2 linked regions of the Canis lupus familiaris genome follow. The protein of the gene in region 1 interacts with the protein of each later gene in a biochemical or structural test. Links are inferred from orthologs where the notes say so. Each region holds a gene or a part of one and is shown in the gene's direction. Other genes may lie near its edges.

Region 1 (3,806 bases):
ATGTGTGTGTGCTTTTTTTAAAAAAAGATCTTAAAGTGGGTAAACAAATATTTTCCTAAGAATAATGGAGTTTCTCTTTATCCACTGGCCCTAAGCTGAATTAACAGACCCATTACAGCTGTGTCATGCCACCTCTAGATTGGTTGTGGCAGCTACTCAGGTGTGGTGAAGGCCTTCAGTTGAGGCCTCGTGGAAGAGAGGGCTATGACCGTGGGGAGGTACAGGAACAAGAGATGGGAGCGTGGCATACCACTCACTTGGCCCTCAGTTGGGCAAAGCATAAGCTCCCACCTCCCTGGCATCTGATGTACCTGACCATGCACAGCCCTACCTGGTGCCTAGGGGCCCCACTGAGGAAGCTGGCCTGTGAGCACAGACTGCTAGAGTGCTGTGTGGTCTGAGCCACCTCTGGGTGTCCCTGGAGTGGCCTGTATCAGCCAGGCCTATTCTATCCAGGAGAGGCTGGGGCCCCTGGTGTTGAGGGACAAGGTCACTCTCAAGGTGACTTGTCCTTATCTGGGGGCAGAATCTCTTAAGCCTTACTGTGCATCCAGACAGTACATGCGTTGCTTGGCAAAGGATTATGTCCAGAGTTTGGAGAAACCATGTGTATAATAACCTAAGTAGTAGAATCTTGGGAGCGATCTATTTCTGGTAGTTAAGTCCTCCATATTTAAGCCAGAGGCCTTTCTCTTAAGCTGGTCTGGACCCCTGTTTTTCTGGGATAGCCTCTCTGGCACACTCTTGAGCAAGAGAGCAGCAGACCACATTGATGCCAGGGGCCTGCTTCCTGCTCTGTCTGTTGTCTGGGGCATGAACTTCAGCCCAGTCTTGGGACCAAGGGGTAAAGATCCACCATGAGCCCAGAATGTTAAGAGTTGCACAAGTCAGGCCTAAGCAGAGGGAAAGGAGGACCTCCTTCCTTCATCTACTTCCAGTAGAGCCCCAGGGCAAGATGAGAATGGGGCCCTCAGATGAGCCAGCAAGGGAGGATTCTTCTAGCTCTGCTGGACTGAAGTTCACTGCCCATGGAGCCCAGGCCTAGGTCCCTTGGTCTGAGGGGCTGGCATAGGTGCTGGGGTGTGGACCCCTTGTGACTGGTTGGTCTTTGTGGAAGCCAGCACATATACAGCTTCTGGGACCATGTGGTCTTGCTGGCCTGCTCCCCCACCCCGTGGACTCCCCTTCCCAGCTCACCACTTGTCTCTGCTCCAGCAGCTGTGGCTGGGCGTGGCTGCCAATTCAGCAAGTGGAGCTGTGAGTGACAGGCTAAAATTAGGTGTATCTACACCCCCAGTCCTCCTTTCATTGGGGTTGTTCTAACCCTTCTAGACTTCGGGTTGACAGTCACCTGCCAAGCTTGAGGAGGGGGTGTGGGGCGGGGGCCTCCTGGGAATGTGAGTTTGGAAGTTCTTCATTGTTGACTGCTCTTAGCTGGCCTCTGTGTGTCTGTGCATGCTGCTTCCACCCCTGCAGGCTCGGACGGGAACAGCATGGATTCAGTGGATGGCTGCTGTGGCCCCAGGAAGACTGACAGTTTCCAGAATGCCCAAGCAGCCTCTAGTCCTAAGAAGGTCGACCTCATCATCTGGGAGATTGAAGTGCCAAAGGTAAGGGCTGCAAGCTCCACACTCCTACAGGCCCAGGGTCATCGAACTTAAGGGAGAGGGAGACAGTAAACCTGAAGCTGCCCCCCGAGTGAGCCAGAGGCTGAAGGGAGCAGGAGTGTCACACCCTGCCAGGGCCCACAGAGCTTCCTGCCAAGTGGAGTTCCCTCAGCTGCCTTCAGGAGGGACCTGTTCTCGTCTCCTTCAAACTCACACACAGGCTACTTACGCTCTCCCTGGGGCTTCCTCCTGTGTGCTGGGGCTCAGATCTGTTTGGAGATGCTAGCAAAAACCAGCCTGAGGACGTGAGCTAGGCGGGAGTCCCTTCACGGTGCTCTGCTCAAAGCTCTCCAGTGCAAAGTATATTTGATAATTGAGCACAGCATAAATCCATATTTCAGAGAGCTTGAAAAGTATAGAAACATATGAGGAAAATAACAAGCTGCTCTAATCTTACCCCCGGGAGTGGCTGTGAAGACTTGTGTTTCCTTCTCGTCTTGCACCCTGTGGTTTTTAAACAAAACTGAGATTATGTTGCTTTAATTAATGCTTTTAAATATTTAACAATTTAATTTTCCTGCGTTATTCTTTTGAAAATATAATTTTAACTGCATTATTCATTGTAGGAATGTCAGTTTACTTCACCAGTCCCCAAATCCAGGGTACCAAAGTGTTTTCGAGCTTCTTGCTATTCTAACTTAAAATTTATTAGCTCGATCTTGATGTTTATCACGGGGGCTCAGAAATAATTGGCCAACTGAATTCTCCCAGGAACTTAGCTCCCTACCGCCGCCATGGAGACTTGGCTTGGTTTGAACTCTAGGTCAGGCAGGCTGCTTTGACCCCAGGGTGCTGACTCCCTTGGTGGTTCCCCCCTTGCCCTGTGACCCTGATAGCAGTTGTGCCTCCTCCTCCCTTAGTGGTTGCAAAGGGCACACCCAGACATCTCTAGGTACAGGGCGACCATGTCCCTGGTAGCTCTGCTGGTGTACGGTTGTGTGGGATTGTCTCAGAGCTCGCCTTACATCATGGCTAAGTTGGGCTTCTTCTGTCTGCCTTGAGCTCTTGGCACGCTGGGCACTTCTACAAGCCTCGTGCTCTGAAGGCTCCGGCCCGCTATCAATTGGCAGCAGAAGCCCAAGGGTTCTTTCTTCAACTTTTATTTTCAAATGGAGCCTTTTTATCTTTGAACCCGGATAGACTTGAAGAGGTCGGAGGAGTCGTAAATCGACCCTTGTGCTGTGGTGGAACCTCTCCTAGTGTAGATTTGGGAGGAGAAGATGCTGGCTTTGCAGCCTTCTGGATGTGGGCCCCGTTGTCGGGGAAGAAATGGGAACTGCTGAGTCCTGGAGCCAGCCAGACTGTGTAGTTCAGCCATTTAGCAGTGTGATATTGGGTGAGTTACTTAGCCTCTTTGAGCTTGTTAACCTCATCTGTAAAATGGTGATAAAGGTATCTGTCATAGCTAAGTGCTCGGAACAGTGCCTGGCAAATGAGTGCTGATATGTTCACAGTTAATGATATATTTGAGCTTCACTTTGTGTAAAACAAAGGTAAGTCTTTGGGAACGTAGGGAATTGGTTTCCTATTAACACCCCAATCGTCTCTTTCTCTTTCAGCACTTAGTTGGTCGGCTAATTGGCAAGCAGGGGCGGTATGTGAGCTTTCTGAAGCAAACGTCTGGTGCCAAGATCTACATCTCCACCCTGCCTTACACCCAGAACATCCAGATCTGCCACATAGAAGGTCAGTGGCAGCTGTCCGCTTGGGTTTTGTTGTCTTCCCTGAAATGTAAGGCATTTGAATCTCAGTTATTCCCTTTTTGGAATCTAAGTCTTTGAATAGAAACCCCTGCTCATCCCAGGTGAAGGGAACATGGTGGTGATGGTGGGGGGTCTTCCTTTAGCCCTCCTCTCCAGTTCAGCTACTTGAAGGAGCCTCCTCTCCCTCCCCCAGATCTTGTGGCCAGGAGAGGTGTGGGCACTCACATGGGCAGGCTGGGGTGGCCTGGATTTATGGTGCCCGCTGCCTCACACAATTCCTTCACAGAGCAGAACATGATTCCCCTCCGGTTGGTGAGGGCTGGACCTTTCCCATCAGCTAGCCTCCTATTGCATTCAAAGCATGGACACAACAGCAGTGGTATCACTTGATAGGTCGGTGGATTTCAGTCCTCTTTAGATAACCTTTCTTAAGGCA
Region 2 (4,414 bases), on another chromosome or scaffold:
CCCTAAAGGAAACCTCAAGGGTCAGTGCAGAGAGGGCACGATTAGAACCCTTCCCCCTTCGCAGGGAGACTGCCAAGCACCTGACATTTCAGACACTCCTGATTCTTTGGGACAGTTGACCTTCGATTCTGATTTGGTCAGAGGCTGCAATAATCCTACTGCTTGTCCTCCAAATCATTTAGTGTTGCTGACAAACCACCTCACTGGCAGGCGGGCTCCCACAGACCTTCAGATCTGAGCAGCTGTGGGCTCCTAGACTTTCTGCATATTGTTATCACAGAGGTAGCCTAGTGGTGGTGGAGCACAGGTAAGGGCAGCTCTAAAGACCAGCTGTTCCGACAGACCATTGCAAACCCATCTCAAAAAGAAAAACACACGCATCCATTCTGAATGGCGAAGGGGCAGTTTTAAATTCAAAGCCATAGTTACCAACTCGGGGTTACTGCTTTACAGGCTCCCTTCAGAATCCATGAAAACTGATTCTTGCCAAGTCACAAATTCAGAACTGAGGCTTCACGGTTTGGAACCAGGTTTTTCCTTGAAGGAAGTTTTTCCCTGAAGGAACCTTGGGAGATGGTTCTGGATCTACATCATCCTCCCTTTTGGTTGCGAATCTTTTGTTTCTGGACGATGGTTAAATTGTTTGTCAATGGGACTTAATTTAGTTTCCTTATAGACTGCAACTTGCTGCCTCTTGAGTGTAACGATGACGTTGCTATCTAGTAAATAAAATCTTAAAAAAGATCGGTGGCTTCAGAGCATCGTGATTCATTGCCCAGGTTGGCGGGCGTAGCTCCACACTCCCTGGTTCCTCTAACCACTTCACTCACCAGCGCCTACCTTGCAGGAGAATGAAAAGAAGAAACCTGTTTAACACCGGCACCCAGTACGACGTCACTGCTCACCCTCCAGGGGCCCTTCTCAATCACGCCGGCCACAAAACAAACTCTGAAAGTAAACAGCTGGAGCTGAAACATAACGATTCCAAGCGCTCGGTCGACCGGCGGCGGGTCGCGCGCCCCTTTCCGGGAGGAGCGCCAGGAAGCCGGCGCGTCCAGGTGGGCTAGCGCCGCTACCGAGGTCCCGGGGGAGGCAGGTGCGCCCAGCCCCGCGCCCGCGCATCCCGCCGCGCTCCGGCCCCCGCAGGCCCCGCCCCCGGGCGCCCCGCCCCCTCCGGCCCCACCTGGACGCCCGTCCCGAGTCCCCTCGACCTCGCCTCTCGCTGAGCAACCGAACCGCCGCAGGGACCGGAAGAGGAAGGCGAGGCGCGGCCCCGGGAGCAGGAGGCAGGCGCGCGCAGCCTCCCTCGGCCCGGCCTGCCGCGGGGCCCTCGCAGCGTCCCCGTCGTCATGAAAACAGGCCACGCCCCCGCGCTCGCCGACCGCGGTTCGCAAGTGCGCAGGCGCGCGCGCCCTGCGGCGCATGAGCAGTGCGGCTCGGAGCCCGCCAGCCACGGTCTCGGGCGCCAGCTACGCCGCTGCCGCTGTCACTATGGCCCATTACAAAGTGAGGGGGGCGCGGCGTGGCTGGGGGCGTGCGGGCGGGAGCCAGCCGCTGGTCGGCTCCGGGAGGGCGTGGGGGCGCGCGCGCAGGTTTGGGGGGCCCGAGTAGCGAGGCGGAGGCGGAGGCGGGGCTGCCGGACTCCCAGCGCCTTCTTCCTGCTCCGGCCCCTGCGCTTCGGCCGCTGACCCGCCGTGTCTCCTCAGGCCGCCGACTCGAAGCGCGAGCAGTTCCGGAGGTACTTGGAGAAGTCGGGGGTGCTGGACACGCTGACCAAGGGTGAGCATGCGCCGGGAGGGGGCTCCTCGTGTCCACGTCGTGCTCCTCGGCGCTGCGCCCCTGCCGGGCCGAGGCGCGGGGCGGGGGCGGGGGCGGGAGGGGCAGCAGGTGGGGCCTGCCAGGTGGGCCCTGCCAGGTGGGCCCGGGGCTCGGCGGGGACGCCGCCCGCGCCGGGCTGCCGCGCTCTCCGGGCGGGGAGTGGAACTCTTGCAGCTGTTGCAAAGTCCCTCCAACTTCCGTTGCTTTGCCTCCAGCGGCCGCAGAAGGCATGTTTGCTAAAGACCCTGAGATCCCAATCCCTCCCTCCTGACACTTTTTGCGGAGTCAAAATTAGGTAAAGCAGCATGTTTCCCCCCGGACAAAGGGCAAGGGGGAAAATGACCGGATTTCCAAAGTTGGCGGATAAAAATAACCAAGTGAACCGAATCCCCCAAATAGGCGATTAAGAATCAGTTTGACTGTGGTTTTACAGCCCCGCTTTCGTAGGCGATGCCAGTTCCTGCCCTGTGCAGATTTCCGAAGTAGAATTAGAGTTTAAAGAGCTTGAGGGCACATGAAAATGGTTATATTGTTTACACTTAAGATGGAAGCTGTGACACTGTATCTCTTTCTGGGGAGGGGGGGGGTGTCTGTGTGTGCGTGTGTTCGAGACCTGAGATGAGGAAGGAGCTTGAAACTGCAGCGTTCCAGGAGACAGTTGGGCTACTGCTTATTAGCTCAGCAATAATGTGAATGCCTGCTATGTATCGTTCAACTCACTGGCTAGAACTTTCAAGGGTATAGAACAGAAAAGCTGTCCAGGATGATGACTGGGTCCACACGAGAAGCGTCTGGGAGATGATTTGGTAACTGCTCTTTGGCCAGAAGCAAAGCCTATTAGGAGAAAATTCTGGGAGAGTAACAACTGGACCTTAGCACAAAGCAGGGCTTTTAATTCCCATACCTGGGCTGATAATTTTGAATTGCTACCTACCTTAGGTTTGGGTACTAGTTTCCTTCTATCTGCAATTAAATTAAATACAATTAAATTAATACAATTAAATTTCAGCAAACATTACAGGAGTACTCTATGAAAGTGCTGTGCTCTGTCCTCTCTTGAAATGTCACAGAAACTTGGAATTTCAATACCGACCCCCCAACCCCCAACCTTAAAAAAACTCCATGAGTTCTTTTCTTTCATTTATTAAACCGTTTTATTCAGGTCTCTGTTCTAGGCACTGGGGATACATCAGTGGGGAAAGAAAAAAGAAAGACCCTGCTCCAAATAAGCTTCTTCTAGTTGGTGGAGACAGATAAATAAGTAGTGCCAGCCAGTGGGAATTGTTATGAATGAAAATACAGCAAAGGGGGATAAAGAGCAAGAGGTGGTGGGGGAAGGTTTCTTTTAAGTAACATTTGAGCAGAGATCTGAATGAAATGTGATGTCAAGAGTTCCAGGAAGTGCAAGGAGGCCAGGGTGACTGCATGAAATTAAAGACAGAAAGTTAGAAGGCAGAGAAGTGACCTTGGCAGGGGGTAACAGCCTTGTGGCCATACATGGATCTTCCCTCATGAGATTGGAAACCACTGAAGGCTTCTTTTCTCTTGGTCACATCTATTGGCATCTAACTCCTCCACCTCTGTAGACTTCCAGTCTCCTCAATATCAGATAACATAGTGTCTACTGATGTGACCTATTTAAAATTTGATTTTTCAGCTCCAAACGTGGGTACTTTCCACAAATTTAATTTATGATTTTAATAAAGCTTATTTCTAAGAGGATCTGAAACTGCTTCTAACATTAAAACACTATAAGGATGGCTAAAGATAAAGAGAAGTCATTTGGAAAAAGGCATTTGAGTTGAGTACCATACTAACCTCTAAAAAATCCCACCTCTAAGGCAAAAAGGGAAACACCAGCTATCAAGTTCTTGTCTGATTAAAAGGAAGTATATTTCATCTATAGAAAAGCACAGGAAGCTTGACATTTACATTGTGTTCTGTAACTATCAACCTCATGGTAGCACTGACAGAAATTTAGAAGCTGAAAGAAATGGGGTGCGGAAGAGGTAGAAAGGCTTAGAGTTATTCATGTCTTATAGAGTTAGTTGGCAGAGATTAGTAGAAATTAGTGGAAGAAGAAACAGGCTTGAGTATGTAATTTAAAGAAAAACATATTGAAGGGAGAGGGGGCTGGTGATGTAAACATACCAGATTCTTAAAAAACCAGGTTGTAATACATTTAGAAGAGTAACTATCAGAACTCAGTCCAGGTTGTTAAAAGTCATTGATTGTCATTTGACTTTTTCATACTGTGTATTATTTTGATGAATTATTAAAACTAAAAAAATAAAAAAGGAAACGTGTAAGTTTTACAGCAGTTCTTGGAGTCTAGAGATGCACATTTTTTTGTGTGTGTAGTTAAATTTTTGGCTTTTGTCATTTTTCAAAGGGTTCCATGCACAAAAAATTTAACCACTGGTTTAGAGAGATTTTTGTCTGAGTAGTAAATCCTAGGAGGAATTTGTTCAATAGAAGATGAGAAAGGTAGTGCTGACATAAGCTTTTGGGTACAAACTAAAACATCTATTTTAATGTTGATCTGAGCATGTCGATTACTGGTAAAGTTTTTGGTTGGTGGTTATTTAGCATATTG

The links.
Region 2: the proteins of AKAP1 (region 1) and MYCBP form a complex in vitro, tested with the Homo sapiens proteins (2 studies listed by BioGRID). The link is inferred for Canis lupus familiaris from reciprocal best matches to the Homo sapiens genes AKAP1 and MYCBP.

Annotation. Positions count from the first base shown.
Region 1 is NC_049230.1:31,854,202-31,858,007, forward strand, and holds part of AKAP1 (A-kinase anchor protein 1, mitochondrial), read left to right. Parts: intron 1-1,476; coding exon 1,477-1,610; intron 1,611-3,226; coding exon 3,227-3,353; intron 3,354-3,656; coding exon of another isoform or gene 3,657-3,760; exon of another isoform or gene 3,761-3,793; intron 3,794-3,806.
Region 2 is NC_049236.1:3,935,768-3,940,181, forward strand, and holds the start of MYCBP (C-Myc-binding protein), read left to right. Parts: upstream 1-1,449; 5' UTR 1,450-1,491; coding exon 1,492-1,506; intron 1,507-1,706; coding exon 1,707-1,779; intron 1,780-4,414. Other genes in the region: GJA9 (gap junction alpha-9 protein), read left to right, coding at 1-238. UniProt on the Homo sapiens protein: May control the transcriptional activity of MYC. Stimulates the activation of E box-dependent transcription by MYC.